2 linked regions of the Elephas maximus indicus genome follow. The protein of the gene in region 1 purifies or fractionates together with the protein of each later gene. This does not show direct contact. Links are inferred from orthologs where the notes say so. Each region holds a gene or a part of one and is shown on either strand. Other genes may lie near its edges.

Region 1 (7,471 bases):
TAAAGGTTAAAATTATACTACAAGTATATAAAATCCTTGAATACATGGTTTAGGAAAAAGAAAACTTTGTGGCCAAGTGAGATTTGAGAAAACGTCCAGGTATTCAGTTCACCAACTATGTATTTTCCAAATGAAAACAAACCATACCGTAACAAAGACATCATTACTTGGCCTCTAATAAACGCACTGGCTAAAACCTACTGGTTTATTCGCAACATTACCCTTTTAAGAGAATTCTACTCCACCATGCTGGAACTCAGGCACATTTTGGTTGCTCAGTGTTATAGAACATCTTAGCTTGCTTTCTTCAAACTTAATGCCCTTCAACTCCATAGCCTTTTTTGGGTCAAGATGCCTTAGAATCAGAGAACACTATAGTTCTTGCCCAATTAAAAAAAAAAAAAAACCTCACAATTTTGTATAAAATTAGAGGATTCAGAACACTTCGAAATCATCCATAAAACTCCAGGTTAAGAACCCCTGGTTTACGGTATTTACAACCAACCAGGGCGGATGGCCACTTCCACTTCTTCCCCTCTTAGGAACCTTCCATTATCAGGAGACAGTGGATAATTTGATGGCATTATATTTAGACAAACTAGTTTGACAGGGGGAAAGGTGTGATTTCTAAGGCTCTTTCACAGTAGTTCAAAAAACGTTTAACAACAATAACAGCAATTTCAATTACAACAACTATTAGTCTAAAATATGAAGTCATTTAAGTCAGACATAATGTAAACATCGAGATATTAAGAGTTCCAAGACATTTTTATTCTTCTGAAGTCTTCTGGCCCATTATTGACAACTAAAACTGACGGGACATCATATTTTTTTATAACAGGTATCACACACAATTCTGAAACAGCAAAATACCTGTCATACCCAAAAAAAGTCTTAAAACTCAACACGTAACATAAAAAAACAGAACACTACACAAAGAAATGCGTAAATTTTCCCCCACTTTAGGTCAGAAATATCTTAAAAATCGAGACCTGAAAGCACTGCCCAGAAAGTACCAAACTCTACACATGATAAATTTTCTAATTTGGGGGGGGGGGGCTGAAAACCAAACTTTTACTTTTCTATGCAGCTCTACCTGTGGTATTTTTACAGGAATGAAGCGACTCCTCCCAAGGTTCCCGTCCCCGAGGAGTCCCCCGCGCCCCCGGGCGGACAAGCAGGTTGAGAAGACCCGTGTTCACAGCGGGCAGCTGCCGCCCTCAGCCGGCGGGGTCCTCCCAGCGACCTGCCTACTCCCGAGCCGTCGGAGGACAGAAATGCCAGGCACTCCGTCCCCCAAGTCCACCGGCTCCCCAAACACTCTTCCACTGAGAGCGGCGCCCCGCTCTCAGGATACACGATCCCGCAGCCAGCCAAGAGCAAGAGCCTAAGGACAGACACCCCAGACGCTCTCTCCTCTCCTGGGGCGCCGCGACCCTAAGATCCACTCACTAGATGGCATAGATGGCACGTCGCAGGGATCAGCCGACATAGCTGTGACTCCACGAGTGACTGCCAAAATGCCTCCACCGCCACCTCAGGCTCCACAGGGGCAGCTCGCCGCCAGCTCCCGCCCCAGACCCCGAACACCGTCACGGCGGCAGTGACAAGCCCACACGGGGCCGAAGAGCGAGGTGCCCAAAGGGCCCGCCCGGCGCTGAGGTCTGCGGACCCCCGGGCCCCCAGCCTCCCGCCTCAGGCCCCCCGGGCCCTCCGCAGCACGGCCTCGGCGGGAGGGCAGCAGGGCCGGGCCCAGCCTGAGGCCTCCTCCCCACACCACTTCCCCCCTCCCGCCACCCCACACTCGGCTGCTGGAAGGGAGCAGAAGCAGGGCATCCCCCATGGTACCCCGCCGGCCCTGAAGCGGGCGCGCGAGGCTGCGGCCCCACGAGGGACGCCGCGCCCCACGAGGGACGCCGCGGCCCGGCCCCGAAGCCGCCCTCGGCCGCTCCGCAGAGCCACAAAGCCGCCGAGTTTCCGCCAGGAGAAGCGGGACTCGCAGCCCCTCCCTCCGTCCCTCCCGATCCCGAGCCTCCGCCGAGGGCCACGTGACGCGGGCGGACGCTTCAGGGCTGCTGCACTACATGTTTCTGGAAACTTCCACGCCTCAGAGCCTACGGAGGTCCTCCCGCAGTCCCCCAACTTCGCGCAGCCCGCGGGGCCGGGGCGGCCGTGCCCTCCCGGGCTCCCCTCCCGGGCTCCCCGCCGCCGCACACGCGGCCGCCCCGCCGCCTCCATTCATCGCGGCTCCGCTCGGCCCCGGCCCGCCGCCCGCCGCCGCCCGCCCGCCGCCCCGCCGGCCGACTTACCCAGGGAGCGAACCAACTGCTGCTTCCTTCCTTGTCGGGGCGAGGGCAGGGGAGGCGGGAGGGGAGAGGGGCCGAGGTGGGATTCACAGTGTTCCCACCTTAAAAAGGGAAACCGAAAAAACGGGGAAAAGGGCGAAAAAAAGGCTCAATAATATTTACAATTCCGGGACACCTCCCCCCACACACACCCACCCGCCCCCCAAAAAGAAGGGAATTAGTCTGTGGAGTCGGCGCTCCCGCCCGCGGGGAGTCGGGAGGGGGAGGGGAGCGGTCGAGTCCCACAGATTCAGCCCCGGGGACCCCGCAGCCCGGGCGGCGGCAGGAGGGCGCAGAGTCCACACGGCGGGGGACGCTCCGCTGCCAGGTGCAGTCCGACTCCCCCTGCCGAAGCGCGGCTCCCTCACGCGGCTCCGGCGCGGGCCCCCGCCGAGGCTCGCCTAAACTTTCCCCCCTTCTCCTCAGCGACCGGGGCCCCCCTCCCCTCCGGGCGGCGGCACGGACTGCGGCAGCGAGGACGGAGCAGGCACGGCCGCCGCGCTGTCGCTACTGTGGCTCTTGCTGATGCTGTAGCTCCCGCTGCTCCTGCCGCGGCCGCTGCAGCCGCTTCTCCCCCTCCTCCTAGTGCCTCAAACTCGGAACCGGTTTCAACCGGTTCAGACTGGGAGATTCCATCTCGGTTGAGTTTTCAGCCCATGGCGCCGCGGAGCGTTTGGAACCTGGGCCTCCGCCCCCAGCCCGCCCGCCCATTGGCCGGCTCCCGCCACAGCCGCGCCATCAGCCTAGCTCCGATTGGCCGGTGCAGCCGTCAGTCCCGCCTCAAGCCTCCACACGAGCCCGCCGCTTCGGCCCCCGCCTCTTTCCAGCGCGATTTGCCCGCAGAGTGGGGGAGGGGAAGTGGGGGGGTCGAAAGGGAGCGGGGGGGGCCGCAGGAGAGGGAGGTGGGGCGAAGAGCTGAGCCGAGTAGAGAACCAAGACAAGCCGCGTGGAGGATTGGCTCCAGCGAGCTGTCAATCAAGCGCAGCCCGCCCCCACTTCCCTTCCCCCTCCCGCCGCTCCCCCTCCCCGTGCGTAGCCCGCAGGCTCAGCCTTTCCGGCTCGCTCATTGGCTGGGCGCCTTTGGTGACGGAGAGGGTGGGGCGCCGCTCCGGAGCTGGTGGCGGCGCGAGTTTGAGCGCGGCGCGCGGCGGCTTCGCTCTGCTTTCCCGGCGCGCTGGCCCGCCCCCGGCTGCTCCCGCCAAGCTGCGGGGGCCTCGGGTGGGGGCTGCGCCCCGAAAAGGGAGGGCACCCCCGGCGGTTTCCTAGTCGAGGACGGGGTGGTAGCGGGAAGACCTGTCGTGGCCCCGAGCCCCTCCAGTTCGCCTTAGAGGCCTGAGTCTGGGGGTGAGAGTAGCTGGGAGAGGCTGGGGCGTGCTCTCCCTGCGCCTCGTGATCAGAGCCCGGGAGGAGATGGCCGAGCGGCTCCTGCGCAGGAATCTCTTTAAAATCTTACTTGTGCCTCCCTGGGCTGCCATTTGGGTGATCCTAAGAACTAAACCCTGTAACCCTTGTAATTGCTTTAACCACGAGTATTTTTGCTGGGTAAGCTTGCACGCCAACCGCCTCCCACCTGGTGCCCTTGGGCTGCCCCCACTCTCGGTTTTCTTTTCAGCTTAGCTGCCCTTTACGTACGTCATCATCAAATAGTATTTTCTGTGAAAGTCACAGGTATATGTTCTTTTACATGGTTGCCTGTAACAATTTACATGGTTGCCTGTCGTTTGTCCCCAAGTGCCCTCCAAATCAGCTTTACCGATTGCTATGCTTAAGAAACAGCAGCCCACCAAAACTTACTAGGCCCATTCTGCCAACAAGAGGTTGATAAATGGCTTATTAAATCAACGCAGTTTTCTTCAGCAGCTCTCAGGATGGACGATAGCTGACACCGAAGCACCGCTGAAGAATAACTCTCCCCAGCCAGTAAAGAAGCCCGGTAACAACCCAAGACTTAGATTTACGAAAATGACAGTGGGTGACTTTCAGACCTAGGATTTTTGTTCGTTGCTTAACGATAGTATTAAATATGTATAATACATGATAAAAAAAATTTTTTTTATATCATTTATATGGTCTAAGACTACAGCTTTCAGTATGGATTACACCTCAACGTAAAACGAAAACCCTCACAACTGGACCAATAATCAACATCATGCTGAACGGAGAAAAGACTGAAGTTGCAAAGGATTTCATTTTACTTGGATCCACAATCAACTTCCATGGAAGGAGCAGTCAAGAAATCAAATGATGTATATTGTGCAAGTCTGTGGCAGACGACCTCTTTAAAGTGTTAAAAAGCAAAGGTATTACTTTGAGGACTAAGGTGTGCCTGACCCAAGCCATAGCGTTTTCAGGTGCCTCATATGCATGTGAGAGCTGGACAATGAATAAGGAAGACTGAAGAAGAACTGATGTCTTTGAATTATGGTGTTGGCAGAGAATATTGGATATACCATGGGGTGCCAGAAGAATGAACAAATCTGTCTTGGAAAAAGCACAGCCAGAGTGCTCCTTGGAATCAAAGATGGCAAAACTTCATCTTAGTGCTTTGGACATGTTACCGGCAGGAACCAGTCTCTGGAGAAGGACATCATACTTGGTAAAGTAGAGGGTCAGCAAAAAGGAAGACCCTTAACGAGACGATTGACACAGTGGCTGCAACAGTTGACTCAAACATAGCAAACCGTGGTGAGGATGGTGCAAGACCGGGCAGTGTTTCTTTCTGTTGTACACAGGGTTGGTATGGGTGGGAAGTGACAGCACCTAACAACAGCAATGACATACAAGATGTTATACACTAATCACTTGTGATACTTAGGTTGTATTAACAGGAAAATGAGGGCTCTCCTCTTTTTTTTTTTTTTTAAGATTTTTTCCCCCCAGGCCACTGGTACTGACTTTCTGGATAGCCATGTAGTAGGAATAAAAATAGTGAGGAGTGAGACCTGGCTTTGCTCAGAATGTGAGCTTGGATAAATAACTTCACCTCTTTGGGCCTCAGTTTTCTTCTTACGCTTTTAATGAGGCTGATGTGGCCCAGGCCCACCTCAGAAGACTGGGGTTAAGAATCTAATGGGATAATATTTCTGAAGGAGCAGTGTAAACCATAAAGCATTTTGTAAAGTTAAAATAGTCTGCTGTCCCCTCCTTTGGCTCTTTTTATCCCATCTTTAAATCACACCCCTGAAAGGATCATATCTGTCTGATTGTAGTGAATGAGGTATAAATATTTGGCCTGTCTATTTTGCTTAGAGTTAGCCAGAGAGTTCTCTGCAGAAGATGGAGTATTCATTATAAATTTATCTCATTAACAACTGCAAAAAGGAGTGACGGACAGATGATTACCTTTCATCACGGTATTTTCAGGATCAAAATCAGAACACGAGGTATGATATTATTTGTCTAATACTGTCTTATTACCTTTATTTGCTAGAATTGAACGGATTTCAAACCCTGGAGTGGAATATGGATAAGAAAATGTAAGTAAACTCTAATGTCTGCTTGGAGTCCACCAAGCTGTAAGACTTTTTGGTACAATATTTCACTGAATTCTCACCACAGCCTGATGAGATATGAGATGGTTACTGTATATGTAGCTCTTAGTTTCTCTCCTCTCTCTTTATTCCCATAAACATACCACCCACAGTGATTGAGTCAATATTAGAACCCATGTTTTTGGTCTTTCTACTAGTTAACATTGTTTCACAAAATAACATTCATCAGAAATAAGAGAAGTCCACAAATTCCTTTTTCACCACTTGTTATTCATTACTATTTTAAAAATTAAAAAAAAAAAAAATACCTGGTCATGTTTAACAATTCAAACAATACAGAAATATCTACAGTAAAAAGTGGGAGTCTTCCTTCACATACTAACCCCCCCCTTTCTGCCTAGAGATAACCATCATCTCCCGGATGATGTGTATACTTCGAGATTTTTTTTATGCACTTACGAACGTATTTCTTTTGTGTTTTGTTCAACATGTATGACATACCACACGTATCGTTCAGCAGCTTGATTCTTACTTAACAGGTGAGAATGTATAAATCCACCACATCCTTGTTAACAGCTCCTTAGTCTTCCCCGTGATTTCAGTACCATAAATGATTCAGCCGTATCCCTACTGAGGACAGTAGGCTGTTCCTGGTTTTCCCTCTTGCAGATAATGCTCCAGTGAATGTCCTTGCACATTTATCTTTTGGCCTAAATGTGACTTTATCTCTAGGTTAAAGCCCAAAAGTGGAATTACTGTGTTGAAGGGTATGTGTATCTGTTATTGTGATAGGTACTGTCAGGGTGTCCCCTGAAAAGATTGTAGCAAATTACATACCTAAGTCAATATGTGAACAATATGTTTATTTCCTATAAAAGCCATCAGTATTTGTTATTCCCATATGATACAAACTCAAAACCAAACTCATTGCCATTGAGTCAATTTTGACTCATAGCGACCCTTTAGGACAGAGTGGAACTGCCCTGTAGAGTTTCCAAGGACCGCCTGGTGGATCCAAACTGCTGACCTTTTAGTTAGCAGCCATAGCACCTAACCACTGCGCCACCAGGGTTTCCTCCCATATGATAGATGATTAAATTATGACACATACCTACAAGAACACTCTTTAAGGTCACATCATAGAGTCTGATGATGCAAATGAGCAATCTTTGCATTTTAATTTGACCTTTTGGTTCTGAAGACAATCTCTACTGACTGTGAGCACCTCAAAGAATCCACAAATGATAACATTAAATGCCCATATAATGTAGGAAAAAAATAAGATAAATATGTACATTAAATCTGTTATTCTAATGACAGAATTGGTCTTTTCGTTGTTTTTAAGAAAATTAATACCACTTTGCTCTCAGAGATACAGCAGTGGCCTTCTAACACGCATTTCTTTCCACAAACCATAGAACAAGCACTTGGACTGAGCAAACACCATGCATCGTCTAATTCACTGTGCATATTCATGACTTGATCTCAAACTCACAATTCCTCAGGCTTTTTCTTCCAATAAGCTAGGGGACGTGTTTGTACTTAGTGAGGCTTAAAGGGAAGTACTGGACAAAATGTTTTTTATAAATATCTAATGAGAAAATTGTTGTTTTATTTGCTTTAAAAAGACATCAT
Region 2 (7,097 bases), on another chromosome or scaffold:
TAAAATACAGCATTATATTAGCAAACAGTTTGCTAATTGTGAGAAAGAAAATGGGAATATAAATCTATATTTATATTTCTTTTGCTTAAAGAAACTTCAAAAGAATATTAATAAGACAAATAACAGTGATTACTTATGGGATGGGGTGGGGAGTGGGACCTCGGTAAATGAGGGACCACAATGGGAAGAAGGGCTTTCAACTTTTTATACTTTGAGTTTTGGACCCAAATTATCTTTCAAAAAATTAAACAAAAATAATTTTCCAAAGAAACCATCTCCAGTAAAGAGTAGCAGTATACTCCAGTGCTGATTGTTGGATTTAAGGAATGAGAGGCTGGATCAAATCTGGAAAACATCACACATCCCTTTCAGTAATTAAGCCTAATTTACTGGCTCTCTAATCCAGTGCTCTCTAATCATTTACCAAATGTTGGGCTAAGTGAAAACTCCTATTCACACTGCAGCAATGAGTGCAAAACAGAAGCACATGTGTAGCTTGTGCCTGGCTTGTAGTTACTACTCACTCACCATTGGTATCTGGTTTGATTTTCTCTTCCTTGATCTGCAAGCTGCTCAGCTGAATGGGAATGAAAGGAAGTAGAGTTAAGCAAGTGACCCAGTTAAAGGAAGACTTTTGGGCACAGGGGAGGTCTCTAGTAAAAGCCTAGCAGGAGCTACTTCAACACCCATCTTCAGGGGCCAGGTTTGTTTTGCTTGATGTAGAATTGACTGGGTGTAAACATCATTTCAAATCTCTTCTACAGCCTAAAAAACAGGGGGAAGGGCAAACTAAATGTAATAGTAGGAAGAAAAAGTATGTCAGCAATCTCAAACCTCTGCTCTTCTCCCAACTCATGCTCTTCCCAGGACATCTAACCTTCAATAAACATATATCAAATATAAACTTTCAAAGGCACAAACACAGCTTGTTTCTAGGTAAAGAATGATACGATGTAAATATCTCATAAGTTTGGTTTTTTTTTTTTAACCCCTAAAACCCATGCTGTATTCAGGCAACACTCAGCAAATAAATTACAGCCCTCTTTCTTGTCTTATCAACCTCCTAGATTATAAATTAGGGAGAAACTTATTTTTTATAATGAAAGTATTGACAAACCCAAGTTCCTGATTTAAAAATCTTACAGAAGCTTGAACAAAATGATTTCTCCTTTACTCCTGGCCACGTACTCCTAGTCAATACAAACTTGCTAAGTTGCAAGCAGAGCAATAATTCATAAATTTGCAAACAACTCTCCACTGTCATGAGAACTATTTTTCTATATTGGAAGAGTAAAGTGTGATATTCAGATGGTATTGTAAAGGTATGTTGTCGGGTTCTGAGGAATACTCAAATCAAGCCCTGGACCACAAGCCTACTAAATAAAGCCCCCTCTCCTTCAGTTTTTAGTCAAGGTCTAAAGTATACTCCCTGCGATATTTTCTATACTGCCCCACTCCAAACCAATCACCTTAAGTTGCAGCCAAAATTATTTGATTCCTGTTCTCTAGGCAAGTCCAGCACTTTGGCACATTTTCTCCTCCTAAAATGTCTTTCGCCGTCATCTCTATCTTAAATATGACTCGATCTCTAAAATCCAGCTCAAATATAAGTTTCTTCACAAGAAATTTCCAGCATTTTCCCACTCATAAATGTCCTCTCCCTCTTCAGAGGTCATTTAAGATGTTGTTCTTACTTCTTTCATAGCACTTCCCACATTGTAGTCTTCCTGGCTAAGACTATAAAGCTTCTTCCTATACTCCACCAGGTTTAACCCATTTTATTTATCTGCTGATGAACTGATAGTACTCCCAAATCAACAAAGCATAGCTGGAGAAGAAACGTAATTTAGGCATTAAAAAGTTATAGAATTCAGCCAAAGATCAGACAGCTAATAAAACAAAATCAGACTAGATGGGCATACCAGCCCAGGGGCAAGGACAAGAAAGCAAGAGGGAACAGGAAAGCTAGTAATGGGAAACCCAAGGTTGAGAAGGGGAGAGTGTTGACATGTAGTGGAGTTGGCAACCAATGTCACAAAACAATGTGTATTAACTGTTTAAAGAAACTAATTTGCTTTGTAAACCTTCATCTGAAGTACAATGAAAAAATACACTGAGTAGATTAAAAAAAAAAAAAGCTACAGAAGGCTTCAGACTACAGGAAAAGTCTTCAGTAAATAGTCTATATTGTCACTACCAACAGTCCATTGTCTCTAAACAAATCTAAACTTTATCTTACCTTTACAGTACACTGAGACATTAAATCTAAACCTGTAAATGTGTTATTTCAATGAAACAGAATGACCATCTACATTTGCCTTTGTTTACAAACGCCACTGGGAAACAGGTGCAACACAGGAATGGTAATAATATACAGTGAAGAGATATTTGCGCTGCGCTGTTAACCTGAAGGTTGGAGGTCCGCGGGGAAAAGACCGGGTTATCTGCTCCCATAAAAATTATAGCCAAGAAAATCCTATGGGGCAGTTCTATTCTGTCACATGGGGTCGCTACGAATAGATGGCATCTAACAACAACAAGTCTTTAACTGGATTAGATGATGATCAAAAGCTCAATGTTGGTCTTTTTAGCCCCAGAGGCAAATTAAAACCAAACCCACTGCCATCGAGTTGACTCGACTCAGTGACCCTATAAGACAGAGTAGAACTGCCCCGTAGAGTTTCCAAGGAGCGCCAGGAGGATTCGAACTGCCGACCTTTTTATTACCAGAAGTAGCTCTTAACCACTAAGCCACCAGGGTTTCCAGAAGCAAATTTAGGGCGCAGTTATTCCCCACGGCAGCAGTGCAGGTCGTGCTGGCCAAAGGCCTGCTCTACCACTCCCTCTCTCTGGGCCTCGAGCCCAGGTCCACCTGGGCCTCTGCTACGTTCTTGCCCCTTTGAGCAGAATCCACTGACCGACTTGACAGCTGCTTCTTGCTCGTCAACCGCCAGAGCCCAGGAGTCGGTGGCCATGGTGCCGGGGGCAGGAGGTGGACACGAGGAAAGATACTGAAGACCACGAGACAACACCGGCCAGACTCTGTCGCCGGCACGAAAACGTCACTCACACGGGCCGGAAGCGGAGGCGCGCGAGAATGACGTCCGATCCGTCAGGTGCGAAAACGTCACCATTCGGCGCCACGTCGCGCCGGCCCTGTGTTTCAGCCCTATTCCGGCGTGGTTAAACCTCCCGCGTTGTATTTGTAGTTCCCTGCTCCTGCCTCGTAGTGCCTTAAATCCGTAAGTTCTTCAAAGTAAAACTGTTTTGCCCTCACTTCACTACCTTACTTCACACTGAAATAACTCGTTTTATTTGTAACTTACCGCGTGTCATATTAAATATGTACGTGCGCTTCTGTGAACCAGAAAGCCTGTATAAAGAAAAACCGTTGCCTTCAAGTCCGTTCCGACTTATAGCGACCCTATAGGACAGAATAGAACTGCCCCAATATGGTTTCCTAGTAGCTGCTGATGGATTGGAGCCCCGACCTTTTGGTTAGCAGCCTGAGTGTCGCAGCAAAAAACCCAAACCAGTTGCCGTTGAGTGGCTCCGTACAAAGAAAAGGCCCGTGAAGAATACTGTATGATGCCAGTTCCTGTTGTCAAGAACGGTAATGTCTAAGAAAACAAAACCCTCTTGTGGAGTCAGCGACCCCATGTAATAAAACACTTTGCTACGCTATGCTAGAGCCCATCATGCAGCCACTGTTTCAGTCCCTCTTGTTGAAGGTCTTCCTCTCTTTCGCTGATCCTCTACCAAGTATGATGTCCTTCTCCAGGGCATGTCGAAAATACGTGAGACGAAGTCTTCCCATCCTCGTTTCTAGGGAGTATTCTGGCTGTACCTTCTCCAAGACAGATGCGTTCCTTCTTCTGGCAGTCCGTAGTATTTTCAGTATTCTTCACCAACACCATAATTCAAAGGCGTCAGTTCTTCTTCGGTCTACCTTATTCATTGTCTGGCTTTCGCATGCATATAAGGTGACTGAAAATACCATGGCTTGAGTCAGATGAACGTTAGTCCCCAAAGTGACATCTTTGCTTTTCAACACTTTAAAAGTCTTTCACAGATTTGCCCAGTGCAATGTCTCCTTTGATTTCTTGACTGCTGCTTCCATGGGTGTTGATTGTGGATCCAAGTAAAAGGAAAACTTGACAACCACAGTCTTTTCTCTGTTGCTTATTGGTCCAGTTGTGAGGATTTTTGTTTTATGTTGAGGTGTAATCCATACTGAAGACTGTAGTCTTTGATTTTCATCAGTAAGTGCTTCAAGTCCTCTTCACCTGCAGCAAGCAAGATTGTATCATCTGCATATGGAAGGTTGTTAATGAGTCTTACCCCAAACCATATGCTGTGTTCTTCTTCATATAGTCCAGCTTCTTGGATTAGTTGCTTAGGATACAGATTGAATAAGTGTGATGAAAGGATACAACCCTAACACACACTTTTCTTGATTTTAAACCACGCAGTATCCTCTTGTTCTTGTCGAACTACTGCCTCTTGGTTTATGTACAGATTCATCATGAGCACAATTAAGTGTTCTGGAATTCGCATTCTTCATAATGTTATCCAGAATTTGTTATGATCCACACAGTCAAATGCCTTTGCATAGTCAATAAAACACAGGTAAAGGTTTTTCTGGTATTCTCTGCTTTCAGCCAAGATCCATCTGATATCAACAATAATACCCATGGTTCCACATCCCCTTCTGAATCTGGCTGGAATTTCTGGCAGTTCTCTGTCAACATACTGCAACTGCTTTTGAATTATCTTCAGCAAAATTTTACTTGTGTATGATATTGTTTGATAATTTCTGCCATCTATTGGATTGCCTTTCTTTGGAAAGGACACAAATATGGATCTCTTCCAGTTGGCTGGCCAGGTAGCTGCCTTCCAAATTTCTTGGCATAGATGAGTGAGCACTCCCAGCACTGCATCAGTTTGTTGAAACATCTCATTTGGTATTCCATCAATTCCTGGAGCCTTCTTTTTTGCCAGTGCCTTGAGTGCAGCTTGGACTTCTTCCTTCCATACCATGAGTTCTTGGTCATATGCTACCTCCTGAATGGTTGAACATCCACCAGTTCTTTTTGGTACAGTGAGTCTGTATTCCTTCTGTCTTCTTTTGATGCTTCCTGCATCATTCAGTATTTTGTCCATACAATTCTGTAATACTGTAAGTCGAGGCTGGAATTTTTTCTTCAGTTCTCCTTGAGAAATGCCGAGCATGTTGTTTCCTTTTGGTTTTCTAACTTTAGGTTTTTGCACATTTCATTATAATACTTTGTCTTCTCAAGCTGCCTTTTCAAATCTCCTGTTCAGCTCTTCATCATTTCTTTTGTTCGCTTTAGCTACTTGAGGTTCAAGAGCAAGTTTCAGAGTCTCTTCTGATATCCATTCTGTTTTCTTTCTTTCCTGTCTTTTTAACGACCTCTTGCATTCTTCATGTATGATGTTCTTGATGTTATTCCACAACTCGTCTGGTCTTCCGTCATTAGTGTTGTGTGCAACAAATCTATTCTTGAGATAGTCTCTAAATTCAGGGGGGATATACTCAAGGCCCTATTTTGATTCTGGTGGACTTGTTTTAATTTTCTTGAGTTTAACTTGAACTTGCATATGAGCAATTGATGGTCTGTTCTGAAGTCAGCCCCTGGCCTTGTTCTGTCAGTTTGTTGTACTGTGGTGGCTTAGTTTGTTGTGCTGTGATGCTGGAAGCTATGCCACCAGTATTTCAAATACCAGCAGAGTCACCAGTGGTGGACAGGTTTCAGTGCAGCCTCTAGACTAAGACAGACTAGAAAGAAAGACTTGACAGTTCTGAAAAAATTGGCCAGTGAAAACCTTATGTATAGCAGCAGAATATTGTGTGATATAGTGCCAGAATATGATCTTCTCAGCTTAGAAGTCACTCAGAAGACGACTGGGGGAGAGCAGCCTCCTTAGAGTTGACCTTGATGACGTGGATGGAGTAAAGTTTTTGGGACCTTCATTTGCTGAGGTGGCATGACTCAAAATGAGAAGAAACAGCTGCAAACATCCATCAATAGTCAGAATGTGGAATGTATGACATACGAATCTAAGAAAATTAGAAGTTGTCAAAAATGAAATGGAATGCATAAAGATCAATATCCTAGGCATTAGTGAGCTGAAATGGACTGGTATTGGCCATTTTGAATCAGTCATATGGTCTGCTATGCCAGGAATGACAAATTTTAGAGGAATGGCATCACAATCCTCGTCAAAAAGAACGTTTCAATATCTATCCTGAAGTTCAATGCTGTCAGTGATAGGAGTAATATCCACACGCCTACAAGTAAGACCAGTTACTAATTGTGGCTATTATTCAAATTTACACACCAACCACTAATGCCAAAGATGAAGAAATTGAAGATTTTTACCAACTTCTGCAGTCTGAAATTGACCAAACGTGCAATCAAAATGCTTTGATAATTACTGGTGATTGGAAAGCAAAGTTGGAAATGAAGATCAGTAGCTGGAAAATATGGCCTTGATGATAGAAACGCTACCAGAGATCGCATGACAGAATTTTGCAAGACCATCAGTTTCTTCATTGTAATTACCTTTTTTCAACGACATAAATGGTGACTATACATGTGAACCTCACTGGATGGAATACACAGGAATCAAATCAACTACATCAGTGGAAAGAGACAAAACCCTTAAACCCCCAGTTATTCTACCATGGGGTTGCTGTGAGTCCAGAATGACTCAATAGCACCTAACAATTTCACCACTCCAGTGAACACACACCCACACTCACACCCACACTAGTGTTTCCTTTTCTTCTGGGTCCTTCTATTCTTTGTTCATATGCATCAATAGCACGGGTATTGTACATAATCCTAAACAAAGTATACATACAATTTCAATTTTCATCTTTTTATTATATGAATATGTATTTTTTATGTCATAATTTACTCATTTAATTGTGGTATAATAGTGCATCAAGAGCATATAAATTACCTAAGGCCCCCACCCCTTCCCTATTAATTGGTGACAGTTCGGTGAACATCTGGATACCATCAAAAATCATCTTACTTGCCTCCTTCCAGTTTACTTTTTGACTTTCC

Evidence for each region.
Region 2: the proteins of XPO1 (region 1) and ATP-dependent RNA helicase DDX19A fractionate together in Homo sapiens (co-fractionation; 3 studies listed by BioGRID, with this or other methods). This does not show direct contact. The link is inferred for Elephas maximus indicus from reciprocal best matches to the Homo sapiens genes XPO1 and DDX19A.

The regions. Positions count from the first base shown.
Region 1 is NC_064844.1:728,744-736,214, reverse strand, and holds the start of XPO1 (exportin-1), read right to left. Parts: upstream 3,037-7,471; 5' UTR 2,310-3,036; intron 1,676-2,309; exon of another isoform or gene 1,453-1,675; intron 1-1,452. UniProt on the Homo sapiens protein: Mediates the nuclear export of cellular proteins (cargos) bearing a leucine-rich nuclear export signal (NES) and of RNAs.
Region 2 is NC_064839.1:40,154,194-40,161,290, forward strand, and holds the start of ATP-dependent RNA helicase DDX19A, read right to left. Parts: upstream 3,061-7,097; 5' UTR 2,976-3,060; coding exon 2,919-2,975; intron 578-2,918; coding exon 529-577; intron 1-528. UniProt on the Homo sapiens protein: ATP-dependent RNA helicase involved in mRNA export from the nucleus.